Drosophila melanogaster: one gene and its partner. The protein of the gene in region 1 interacts with the protein of each later gene in a biochemical or structural test. Each region holds a gene or a part of one and is shown on either strand. Other genes may lie near its edges. The genes, in order: Ptp10D and Gp150.

The links.
Region 2: of the proteins of Ptp10D (region 1) and Gp150, one has a biochemical effect on the other in vitro, tested with the Drosophila melanogaster proteins (2 studies listed by BioGRID).

The regions. Positions count from the first base shown.
Region 1 is NC_004354.4:11,620,164-11,625,233, reverse strand, and holds the start of Ptp10D (protein tyrosine phosphatase 10D), read right to left. Parts: upstream 3,220-5,070; 5' UTR 3,049-3,219; exon of another isoform or gene 2,877-3,048; intron 1,482-2,876; exon of another isoform or gene 1,405-1,481; 5' UTR 1,132-1,404; coding exon 1,018-1,131; intron 1-1,017.
Region 2 is NT_033778.4:22,321,209-22,329,085, reverse strand, and holds the start of Gp150 (Gp150), read right to left. Parts: upstream 6,184-7,877; 5' UTR 6,117-6,183; coding exon 6,061-6,116; intron 3,969-6,060; exon of another isoform or gene 3,912-3,968; coding exon 3,359-3,911; intron 3,304-3,358; coding exon 2,749-3,303; intron 2,691-2,748; coding exon 956-2,690; intron 894-955; coding exon 562-893; 3' UTR 1-561.

The DNA of each region.
Region 1 (5,070 bases):
TAACCAGTGACCAGTTAAAAGCAAATAGTACATAACAATACGACGTGAGTTAGTAGCACCGCATCGATGCCCTATGAAAACCCCTATATTCAGATATTTACCCATAAAGTATAAAGTTTATGAAAATTGAATTCGTGCAAAAGTGCAACAGTGAAAAACCTAATTAGGAAAATTGCCAGCCTTATCGATTGCATCACTCAGCTGAGTTGCACACATCGAGGAATCGGCAATGCAATTACTTATTATGCAACACAGCTCGAAGTATCAATTAAAAATGCCAGGCATGCAAAGTATTTAGACAAATTCCTTGAAACGAAAATATAACTATCTGTTAAGTTTGTTATATTTAATTATTCTGAGTGTACAGGGTATAAATATGTCATCATCTTCTGTTAAATGCATTCTACTTCATATCTGCACAGCACACGACTTGAGATGCAAAATGCAAAATCTTGTTCGGTTATTGTTTGTTACTCTTGCTTTTGTTTGTTGTTTCCTCAAGGTCTTTGATCGGATTGGAGTTTGTTTGTTGCTTTGTTTGTTTGTTTGTTTTTAGTACTGTGTCCAGTGAGGCAAATACATTCGCATAAACAATGGCGAAAAGCAAACACGATGCGAAATAATTGAATTTAATTAACATGGGAAAGACCACAGACAAAAGTGACGAAGACGATGATTTCCATGTGGGCGGTTTAATTCGAGGCGGGGGCGGGGTCGTCACAAATAAATAATTAAATAACTTCGGACAATGTTTGCAGAACCTTGTCGTTTCGATAGCCCTCGAATTTAGAAAGTTATTTGTGCACATTTCGAGGTTATTGTTGTTTATCATATCTTTTGAACTCCTATCTAATTTTGCATATTTCTCTTGTATTGATGTATCCTGAATAATTATTATTATTATCCTGAATAATCGTTTCTCCCAAGCTAAGATTCCGAAACGGGTAATTCGACGGGCCTATAAATCCACCCGCTATTGTGTGTTTTGGCCATGTTTTTGTTGGCCCTCTCGCTTACCTTTAGTGTAAATGCTGCCAGAAATGCTAAACTCCAGAGCCAGCGATGTTGTGGAACGGCTTTTTGCCTTTTGAGCCGGATTCTAGTAGTGGCTTTACTTAGCTGGTACAACATTTTGGGGCCGTCGTTTTGCTGTTTTCGTTGTTGTTTTCCTCTCCGCCTGGCTCTCTTTTGTTGCCTGCTTCTTGTTTTATTTGTTCCTATGTTGTTGTTGCTTTGGACTTTGCAATTTATTGTGCGATTTTTGAATTGGGCTTTTCGCTAGTTTCTTTCGAATTCGGGCATTTTTAGCGCGAGTTTAGTCTTTACTTTGATTAAATGCATTGTTTTCACAGTTTTCCCGTTAGTGTGGTGAAATTTTGTAAATTTTTATCCTGAATCCAATTGCTTGCAATTTGTTGGTTTAATTTGAATTGATTAAAACATATTCTTGTTTTGTTTTTGTTTGTTTTTTATTTTGTGATCTGCAAGAGAGTATGAATTAAAAATAACTGAAAGAGTGATCGCAAGAGGGAGACAGCTAGATAGTGCCGCTGTCCTGCTCTCTACCTGCTCTGCTTCCTCTTCTGCTTATCCAACACTTTGCGCTTGCGCCGAAAGCTTCAGTTCCTATTTTTTCATATTTTTCTGCGACTTGTTTCTATATTTCTGCACAGTGGAACTAGGCAAATGCAAATTTGATTGAACATTTGAGATTTAAAAACCACTGTTAAGACTTTGCTTAATAAATCAATATCAATTATTTTACTTATCTAGCAGTAAAGTATAATATTGAAATACCCGTTCTACTTAAGTTTTCATTCCTGGAACTGTGTGATTAAGCAATGCATTAAATTCATTTAAATCTAATTCGCAGACAAGTGCTAATTAATTGCACTGTCTTGTGCAGTTGCAAAAAAATACTGCTGATCAATAATTTAGCCTGCGCTGACGTCATTGAAATATTTAAAATATCGCAGCCAGCAAAAAAACCAAATAAATATGAAGAACAAATAAAACTAAACGTCTGAAAACCAGTTTTGCGAAATCAAAACGATACACGGCACAAAATTCAAATTGTATTGACAAGTATCATATCTTCTGGAAAATTAAAGATGTTGTCCTTGTATCTTTTGAATAGACTTGTAATGAATTGGTAATCCTGCTGTAGGACTAATTTAATTTAGGAGTTCCCTTTTAAGCTACTCTAATTTTGTTCTGTGTATGTTTTGTTATTGTTGCACTGTCTTGTTGTTGCTTTCTGCGCTTGGCAACGTTGTCATGCAGAAAAGACCTTCAACTTTGTTGCAAAGAGAGGAAGACAGAAGAAGAGCAGAGCAGATTGATTTGATTGATCTTTTTCCTTCTGGTCGAGAGAGAAGAGCAAGAGAGAGAGAGAGGGAGAGAGGGAGAGAGAGAGCTTTATGATCTCGGCACATAAAACACAAAAACAAAACAAGTTTTTAAAAACGTATTTCTTCACCTCTTATTTATTGTTAAATGTGGGACAAGTTTTTTTAATGCGACTGGAAATTTTTCGCAACTTATTGTCAGCATTAATAGAGATTTTATGAAACAAGCCAAAATGATCCCCCAAAATTGAATGCCGTCAGAGAAACAGGAAGTGGAGAAATTTGCCGCACAACAACAAAATATTCAAATGAGGCTGCGTGTGAAAGAGAGAAAGCAGCGGCATGCCAAAAAACGAAATAATACATAAAAAAGCTGCGTAGGTGTTGCTTCTACCTCTCTCGCTCTGTGTCTGTCTGCCCCCCTCGGCCAACATTTTTTGTTATTATTATTGCACACACATACACACACACACACAAACAACTCTCAATTTCTGCTTTTACTTTAAGCTTTATTTCAGCATTTCTTACGTTTTCCACTGCGTTTTTCTCAAATTTTGCTCATTCGGCACGCCACTAAAAAAAACCAAAACATTTAAATATATACACCGTTAATTTGTGTATTTTATTTACTTCTATTCTGTTGTTGTCGTTGGTTATAAAAAAAATAACAAAAAACAAACACAGGCGCACGCACACTTACACGTACACGCAGGCACGCGACGCAAAGCACAGACACAAGAAAAAAGCGGAACGGACAATCGACAAATTTTGCGTTTTTCGAGCGTTTGCTTTGCGGCCCGCCTTAACAGATTTCGCGTCCGTACCGTCCGCACTCCGGTTCGCTCTTCACCACACTGAATTGGAATCTGATTCAAATCGGATTCGAGTCCGGAGTCGAATTTGGAATCGGAATTGGAATCGGAATCGGAATCGCCAACGCTCGTTTCACCTGTAGAGCTGGACAAATAATCGATGACCCAGCGATGGTATCGATAGGAACCTGCGCGGCTTCTATGTTTCGCTTGTAACTGTCAACTATTTAAAAGCAGAATTAACCATTACTTTGCTGCGCGGTTATAAAATAGTTAAATACAATTAAATTTGTTGCACTTGATTCTTTTTAACGTGAACCAAGCATTGCGGCAGTAGTACTTCGGCCATTACAAGTCCGAGCTCCGTAATTCTTATTATTCAATTACTCACACAAAATGTTAGTCCAAATGGACATCTGAGCCATGGGCTTAGTGAGCCAAGGCGATAGGCTGTATATGTGTACCCAGACAGCATGCACAGCGAAATGTTAACAAAGAAAACATTTAATATTTTATTATTTATCCCGCGCAAAACCGATCTGACCAAACTCAAGGTGTTTTTTGTTTCCGAATGCAATCGATTATAATCGATAGTTCAAACTCACCTCTGAGGGGAGTTAATTCGCCGTTATTCGGCTGCAATGCGTGCGCGCAAGGCAGATATAATGTGGCGCGCATTTCAAATCAGCTTATAAAAAAGTGTAACATTCCAACTCCTGAAAATAGGAAGTAACTTCATTGATTGAAAACACTTCCATCTTCTTTTATATAATTTATTATTTATTAAGGTTTCATTTGCATGAACTGTTACTGGTTATTATAATTAATTATTGTTAATTACAGGCTATGTTTTAATTGCTAGAGATTAGCAAGTTCTAAAAATTACATTACACATTATTATTCTTATACAGAGTATACCTCTTGACATTTGACATTACAGTTAAAACTAAATTACTAAAAAAAAACAATTCAAACTTTCATTTTTATTTGGACATATAACAACGCAAGGAAAACAAACAAAAATTAAATGAAAGGATAAGCCAAAAGTGTTTAAAGAGCACAACTCGTTTGAACAAACACTGAACGATTCGCTGGGGAATTAGCATTGGACTTTTAATTTAATTACACACTAGACAAACCGAGTTATAATTAAAAATACAAACAAAAAATTGAGCTAAACGAAAAGTTAATAGCATATATGTATGCATACATTTATAGCTAGAGGAATTTCGCTATAAAACAAAAAATAACGAAACGTGTTCCCCCCCGCCTCCCGCCTTCTCTGCGCCCATCACCAACCGCCGTTCCCCCAAACCCCCCGAAACCACCCACCGCCTCATATTTACCACTAGAACCACTTGGCCGAAAAAAAAATCATATATTCCCTCCGATACGCCGGTGATAAGAACGCAACGCCAAGGACAATGGCAAAGGCTTTGATAACAGGTCGGAGCGAGATGGGAATATGTCTCGCTCCCTTTCTGTGAGTATTGAACTACAGCCAAACTTCGCTAGTACGAACTTCAAAAACACTTTGAAATTTCAACTTAATCATATTTTGTCCAGTAGACATTATAGAAGTGTAACATAGATCAATTAAAATGATTATATTGTATTTAGCGGATTGGATTTTGGATGACAAACTTTTTTTTTAATTTTGAACACATTTGTAATAACTACAAAGTTTATAAGGATATGGATTTGGGGTATGCTTATATGCTTTGTAAAGTTCCCAAAATTAAAACTGTTGAAAAATAAAGCTGCGCCTGGAAGTGTTTTTATAGATTACAAAGGGATATCGAAGGAGATTTGTGATATAAATATATATACATAAATATATATATATAAAAATAATATGCTATTCTTCATAAAATAAAAAACCTTTAATAAAGTCTCCAATTCTGAGACTG
Region 2 (7,877 bases), on another chromosome or scaffold:
CTCGTTTCTTGTTCCTGACTTGACACTCAGTTTAGAAACCTTAATGTGTTTAAGTAATTTTCGCTCGGTTTGAATTTTGGCAAAATGGCACTAAATCTTCAAGTTGTTCCCGGATATGGACTAATTGGATACGGATTGTGGGCAGAGGTTTGATAAATTGCAAATCCGTTGCTTTCGAAACGGTTGCTCATCAAACGCGTTCTCTGAAAGCCCACCTCTGCTGTTGCCAAGGACCTTTGACTGGTCTTAACAGTATTTGATGGTACAGGATATTTCAAGGATAAAGGATTTTGTCAAAGATTTATTCTCTCTCTTTCAATCTCTTATTTGGATTCAAGTATTTTTTAGTTGTTGCTTTGTTTCCTCGCACTTTCGCTAATACTTTTAACTGCCACCTACTGCTCCTCCTCCTGTTTCTTACATTCTTGTGCTTGTGTTTAGTCAATTGTCTGATGTGATTTTCCACTTTTTCAACTATCAATATACTTATAAATTAGAAAAACAGCGCAACTCGTTCGATTTCCGCGGCCACCGGCCCGGAACTGCTGATTCTAGGTGGACTTAGACCTGATTGATGGGCGCGTATCGGTGCACCTTTGGCTGCTTCAGATGCTTGGGCTCCTTCTGCTCCTTGCTGGTCGGCTTCACGATGTCCTCGCTCAACTTCTGGTATACGAACGAGTTCTTTGAGGCCAGCAGCGCCATGCGATAGCGCTCGCCGCGCTTGCGCAGCACCACGTAGATCACTCGGGCGATGGACAGCACGATCATCAGGAGGCAGAAGGACACGACGATCAGTGGGACCACCAGGTCGTAGGATAGTTCGCCGTGGAAGATCATCTTCTCGGTGTACTCATCTGACTCCTCGCTTTCGCTGTCGAAGCCCAGTTTCTCTGAGAAGGTAAAACATACGATTGGAATACATTCCATCAACGAATGATTGGCTAAAACTTACCCAGAAGGAATTTATCACGGGTCTCCTGAGACATGTCCACTTCCTCCGCCTGGATACCATCGGTCTTCAGGACTGGCTTCAGTTCCTTGTTCACGAACGTGTCGAAGGCCTTGTTAGCATCGGCCTTAGCCTTGGCATTCTTCTTGGCCTCCTCGAAGCGATCATCATCGTTGTTGTCATCATCATCGTCCTCATCATCGTCATCATCATCCTCCTCACTGTCATAGTCACTGCTGTCATCCTCCTTATCCTCGCCGCCATTGTTCAGATTCTCCTCGTCAGCATCTTCCTCAGGCTTCGCGGTTTCAGTGTTCACCGATCCCTTCATGATCTTCTGCATGCTGCTCAGCCTGCTCTTGTCTAGCACACTCTTGTCCAGGACACTCAGCAACTTAGCCTCATCCTCGTTAAGCTTCTTCACGCTTTCCTTCAGACGCTTCTCCAGTTTGGCTTCGGCACTGTCGGCCTTCTTTTCGTCCAAGAGATCTGATCCTTCGGCATGCTTGCACACCTCGTGGGCCAAAGACGACCAACCAGCCTGAGCCAGAGTCTCCAGCTGCACAATAGTAGCATCGTCCTCCAGATTGGCCAGCACGGGCAGACGCTTGGGAGTCATCTGCATCTGAAGAGTGACGTAGCTGATGAACTCCTGGAAGTCGGGAGTGCACTTCAGCGGATTGTTGGTGATATCCAGAGAACGCAGGTTCTTGAAGCTCTTCACATCCTCCGAAGAGATCTTCTTGATCAAATTACCAGAGGCGTTAAAGGAGCGCAGGCTGTCAAAGATCTTGTAACCCGCACCCAAGTCGCGATCGGAGAGCAAGGTGGTAAGCTCGCAGTCATTGACGTCCAGGCATCGCAGTTGGTGCAGCGGCAGGAAGAGGCGGACGGACAAGCGGCTAATGGGATTTCCAGCCAGACTGAGCTTAGTCAGCTCTCCGTTGTCCATGAAGATCAGATCGTCCATGCGGGTGATCAGGTTGTTGCTCAGATCCAAGTCAATCAGCTTGTGCAGTCCAGTGAAAATCTCGCGCGGCAGATGATTAATGTTGTTCCAGGCCAACTTCAAGGTGGTCAAATGCGGCATAGTGGAGAAGGCCTTGTGACCCAATGGACCGATGGCGCAATTGGAAATATCCAGGTAGTAGACGGTGAACTCCCCACTGTAGCTCAAGAAGCCATCGGTGGGCAACTGGCTCAGACGAGGATTGTCGTTCAAACGGATCACATCCAGCTCAGAGTTCTTAAAGAACAGCATTCCCGAGATCTGGTCCAGATCGTTGATGGACAAATCGATGTGGCGCAGGTTCTTCAAAGTAAGGAACGAGTCCGGTTGGATCTTCTTAATGCCATTGCCCTTGAGGTTCAGGTTGGTCAGACCGGGCATCTTGTCGAACATGCTGTGGTGCACTTGGACAATCGAGTTAAAGCTCAAGTCCAGCTGCTGCAGATCCTTGGTGCCAAAGTGCAGATCGCCATTGAAGGTATTGTACTTCAGGTGCAGTATGGACAGGGTGGTGCCATTGAAGATATCGCGGGGCAATTCAGTCAGCGAGTTGTAAGACAGATCCAATTCTTCCAGAAGAGTAACCTTCTCGAAAGCCTTCTCGGGCAGTTTCTTGAGACTGTTCTGGCTCAAGTTAATGTAGACGACATTGGATAGATGGGAGAAGGCCTTGGGATTCAACTCCATAAGGTTGTTGCGCGAGAAGTCCAGCTCCTCAATGCTGGAAGACTGCAAAATTATAATTTATTAGCTGGATTTCAAGGTAAAGGTTTTTGAAATCACTCACCTTCAGCAAATAGTGAATGCTGGACATCACACTCAAGTCGTTACCCGAAATGGTCAGCATGCGCAGTTTCTTGTTTCCAACAAAGGTATCGGGATTAATGATAGCCAAACCAACATCCGTCAAGTTAACAGCGTACAGCTCGTTCAGTCCGTGGAAGGCCTCGGCGTGCAGGTACTCCAAGGTGCAGTTGGCGATCTTGATGGAAGCCACGTTCTTAAGACCCAGATTCTGGAAGAAGTTGGGTCCCATCAGGATGGGGTACTTAGGACCCACATTGGTCACAACCAAATCCGTAATGTCAGAGCCAAACTTCTGGATGCCCATGTCAAGTCTGCTGCAGGTGGCCACCAGATAGCTGTTGACATTCCGGGCACACTGGCAGAATCTTGGACACGGAACGTCCTCGCTGAAGACAACTTGCTCATCATCGGTCAAAAGGTCGTCAGCGGCATCGTCCTCGTCATCATCATCATCCAGACCCTCGTCGTAGTCATATTGAGAGTCGCTGTCGATATCGTTAGCACTCTCTTTGGTCTTTTGGTCGTTGGATTTGCTCTGTAAAGTACGAAAACATATTTATTTGAATTTAAGGATGATGGGGGAAGTATACCTTGGACTTCGTGATGGTGGCATCCACAATGGGCTGCAGCTTGGGGTTGCTCTTGGCCTTCTTGGGACTGGGGGAAATCGTCACCGTCTCCTCATCGAAATAGTTGTAATCATCATCGTAGTCATAGTATTCGCTATCGTCGGTATCGGTGGAGTTCTTCTCCCCGGCGGCGACGGTAGTATTGAGCATCTTGTTGAAGTGTGGATCATCAGCCAAAGCTTGGCTGTGCTTGGCCGCCTCCATCAGATCATTCCAAGCCTCCTCGCTAAGGGACTTCTCGGTGCCGGAGGACGTGGTTTTTTTTGTGGGGCTCCTGGTGGTCGTCTCCACGGGTAAATCCTTTACCTTGGGGGTGGAGATTTTGGGCAGACTCTCGGTCGGGCTCACCTCCTCTCCAGAGTTCAGCTCGTTTTCCGTCAGATCGTCATGAATGAAGTGGATCTTGGGGCCCACGGTATTTGAGTGGCTGGCGTGGATTAGGGCCAGGGTAAAGGCCAGCAGCAGGACTAGCCTGCAAGTCGACTGGCGACTCATTTTCCTGTAGATGGGCAAACTGAAATGGACCAGGAAATTCAACGTTATACAGTACAGTAATGGCCGCTTCTGAGAAAATGACAAAAACAGACGACTCACACCCAACGGGCCCTATCTTATCGCTAATTGCTGGAGCCAGATAAGTAGATATGCGTTTATTGAATCAACCACATTCTGGAGAGGTGGCCGAGCTCATGGCTGGTCTCAGAATGCGCACATTGTCCACCTATTTCCTTAAAAATCACCGATCTGCATGACGAAATGGTGAGCCAAGTTGACTGCCCCAATTAGCACATTGGCACCCGGAGAGTTGACATCATTTCGCATGCTAATTTAGTAGGTACACTACATTCGAATCGACGAATTTCCAAATGTTTGCTTATCGTTTAATGGCAATTGTTTTGCACCCCATATGATTCGCTGCGTATTTTCAACACGTTACTCAGAATCCAGTGAAAGCACAATTCGCACTACCGTATCCGCAAAGTACTTCCCTTATTGATTAGTACTGTATACATCATCTAACAGTAATGCATATGCCGAAAATAGTTTCTGGAGAATTGCTGACTCTCAATCTCGCGATTCGAGTTGGTCTGTCATCAACTGGAGCTTGTTTATTTGAGTTTCAGTTTGCTTGCCCTTTGATTGCACGCGACTGGTTTGGTTACCCTAACTAAACGATTGGGTAATCACATTGTGCTTTTTGGAATCGATTCGATATGAGGGAATCCCCACTGAGCGTTTCTTGACGCCGATTATGAACTCGTTTGCCAGCTCGCTGATTCTAAGAAATTCTCAAAACCAGACTGAAAACTCGACGCTCTCCAGGTCTCTTATGCAATTTACGTAGTTTTGGAATGCATTTTCCACCCATTCGATGCGGATTCCATGGCGGATGGCCCTATTGAAAGACCGCCTGTGTTTGCCTTCGTTTTCATGGCAAAGCAAACACATAATTCGAGACCGTGGCTCGCCGAGTGGTAAACAAAGAGCTTTGGGTATTATTGCTTTTCGTAACCAGGCAAACGACCCGGGATCGCGAGAGATCCGACTCCGCCAGCAAAGTGTAAAATGCAAAATGCGCAGTTAAGGCGGCCAGAATAGATCGCATTTATCCAGCCAATACACAGTATGGCGGCTATGGGAACATATGTGCGCACATATCGTATGTTAGAGCATTTCATTAGACCCCACAGCAAACCGCTTAGCAGCCAGCTCCGCGTTGCGAGTGGGTGTCAGGTTGACTGGGAGCCTGACACAAGCGCGAAGGGAAAACTGCAGTCTCGAGATCGCATTAAACGTGTTTAGGTCTCTCGGCTAACACATTTCATCGAGTCAAGAAAGACAGCGGTTTTTGGCTCGCTTGAAATTGGCTTTGGCTTTAGCTTTGGCCAAGGCGCCGCCGACACTCCGACCATAATTAATTCCATTTCTGTCATTGCAGCGATATATGTATGTATATATGTCTGTATACACAGATGTCCGCTTGAACTGGGCTATACGAGGGTAGACTCTGTTCAAGTTTAGAGAGAAACCGGTAACTGGCACTGGCACTGGCCATACTTGTACATGTATGCAAATACGTTTTCCACTCGGAAATTCGTGAGTCAGCCAATTCATCATATTGCTGCGGCTATCTACAGCTGTAAAGATTAGACTAGTCGGGATATATCCAATCGGTAAGCCCCATCCCTCCATTGATCTGTCTCCCCCGCCAGTAAATAAAAATCTATAACTGAGTGCTTTGTAGTGTCGTGCATCTAATTAACGTCCAGCTAATGGGGAAATGCTTTCCTGAAACTGTTTCTAGAACACTTTGACATTCGATCGAGATAAACCCTGATCTGGCCCTGTCATACATAATGGCCCCGTACTTAACGTAACCCGATACGGAAACACTTTGGATCGCTTCGTTTAAAGGCACACTTCCACAGAGTATCAGAGTATCGCCTAACAAAATGATTTCGAGTCTTGATACAAGACACGATTTGTTTAAACGTAAACCTCTATTCAATTTATTAGTATATTTTGATTTGGCTCCATTGGTTGTCTTTCGGTTTTTATCAACTGGTTCACAGACGGTTGGCATGTGGTCGGTTTTGTCAACAGATTAGAATTATAAACGCTTCCCATGAGACCCGCCAACCCACATTTAAGTATCAAGTTACCCAGAAATGTCATGTGGATTGGAGAGCAGATGGGGCCCGGTTATCAAATTGTGCATGGGTGCGTCGTCGATCGGAAATTGGAAACTGGGTGCGACCCTTGGGCAGTCAATATACCAAGTATATGCCCGAAAAATATCTGCATTCCTCTGGGTAGAGAGATCCCGTTGATTAGCAAGGTTGGCTAATGAACCTCGAACTCAGGTAGTTTCGCCTTGATTCCGTCTTACGATCAACACAAATGTGTCTCTGGCAAATACCAAGAAATACCCAAAATAATGCGATCATGAGTCTGTGTGCGTGGGCAGATAGTGATTGAGATGTCTGGGTAAAAATAGCTGGCGTTAACAGGAAGTGAAACGAGAGAAACGGACGTGTAGGTAGAATATTGCATTTTTTCGGGAACTTATGTGTCCCCTTTAAAGGATATCGATTCATGGAAAGAGTGGAGGGACAGGCGAAACGGAAATGCCTCAGCTGATGCCTTCATTAGGGTGGCTCAAGCCAATTTCATCCGGCTTTAAATCTGCGGATCACGACATCGTCAAATTTGTTGACCGATTCATTAGCATCACGAGTTGCTGCGGATTTTGACGATTTACGATTGTTATTTCTGCTAGAAAATACACCACTGGCCAACTGCTCAGATATAACATTTCCATCTATATATCATAGTGTATCCCACTCGGTTGAAGCCATTCTGGAATATAATTTCTGCAACGTTAATTTTTTGCAGCCAGGCAGACAGGCAGTACAATGGACAAAATTGCCCAAGGCGTGCACATAAAAAATAAACACAAAAGTATAAAAAATGCCGACATTTGACCACACAGACTAACACGCAGTTGGCACAAAAGGTTGGTACAAAAAGGGGGAAACTGTTGGCTCACAAAGATGGCCAGACTGGTTTTTGGCTGGAAACTGCCACTCGAACTCGGAGCAGATGTGTGAGCCAAGTTAGCCCGGTGGCAGCCAAAAGTCAGGCAGATGACTTTACCAGTTACGAAAAATTCTTGCTAAAAGCCATTTCAATTCGCTCAAACTCAAACATTTCGAAAGGGAATTTCTAAATAATAACCGATGGTGTCACGTTCGAGTTGCTTGAACTCTTCGCACCGAATGTGCTCTATTACAATCAAAATAAAGTCGTTAATGTTTACGTAAATAGTTTAATCGCAATGACACTTTGTAGTGTCTAGTGTGTACATATTGTCTGTAATACTATATGTAGTATATAGTGAGAAGTGTCATAATCAATTAAAATTGCTATTCGATTATAGGAAATCGATTAGCTTATCTAAGAAGGTCACTGGAGCTTAAAAGAGACGCGTACTTGCCAAGTCGGCAAACTAATTACACTTCAGGGTAAAATTTTGCAGCAGCTGCAAGTTCGTGTGAGCGAAACGACATTTCTCAGTTAAGACCTTTTCAAAATTTATCGCGAAGTAATGCCTTCTGATCGATCGGAAATAAAATTGCACCTTGTGTGCTGCATTTTAGTCGATAAAGTGCATTTGCTGTTATCTGAGGGAATTCCCTGCATGGGAATTCAGTGATTAAAACTCCATAAATTGATTTCAGCCATTCGAATCCGAGTTTTATGCCTGCTTCCTCGCCTTGCCAGCAATTGCCCTTTGTTTGGATCGATCGGTGCACCGTATATATAGCCCTGAATCTGAAGCAGGAAGCGTAACATAAATTAAGAACTTAAGGAGGTGGTGCAAATGAGAAACCGGCTTTCACCTGGCGGGGGCGGTTCATTAGCGATATCTGTATCGTATTTCGATCCCAGCTTCCGACTTTTAGAGTGCCGGATAAGT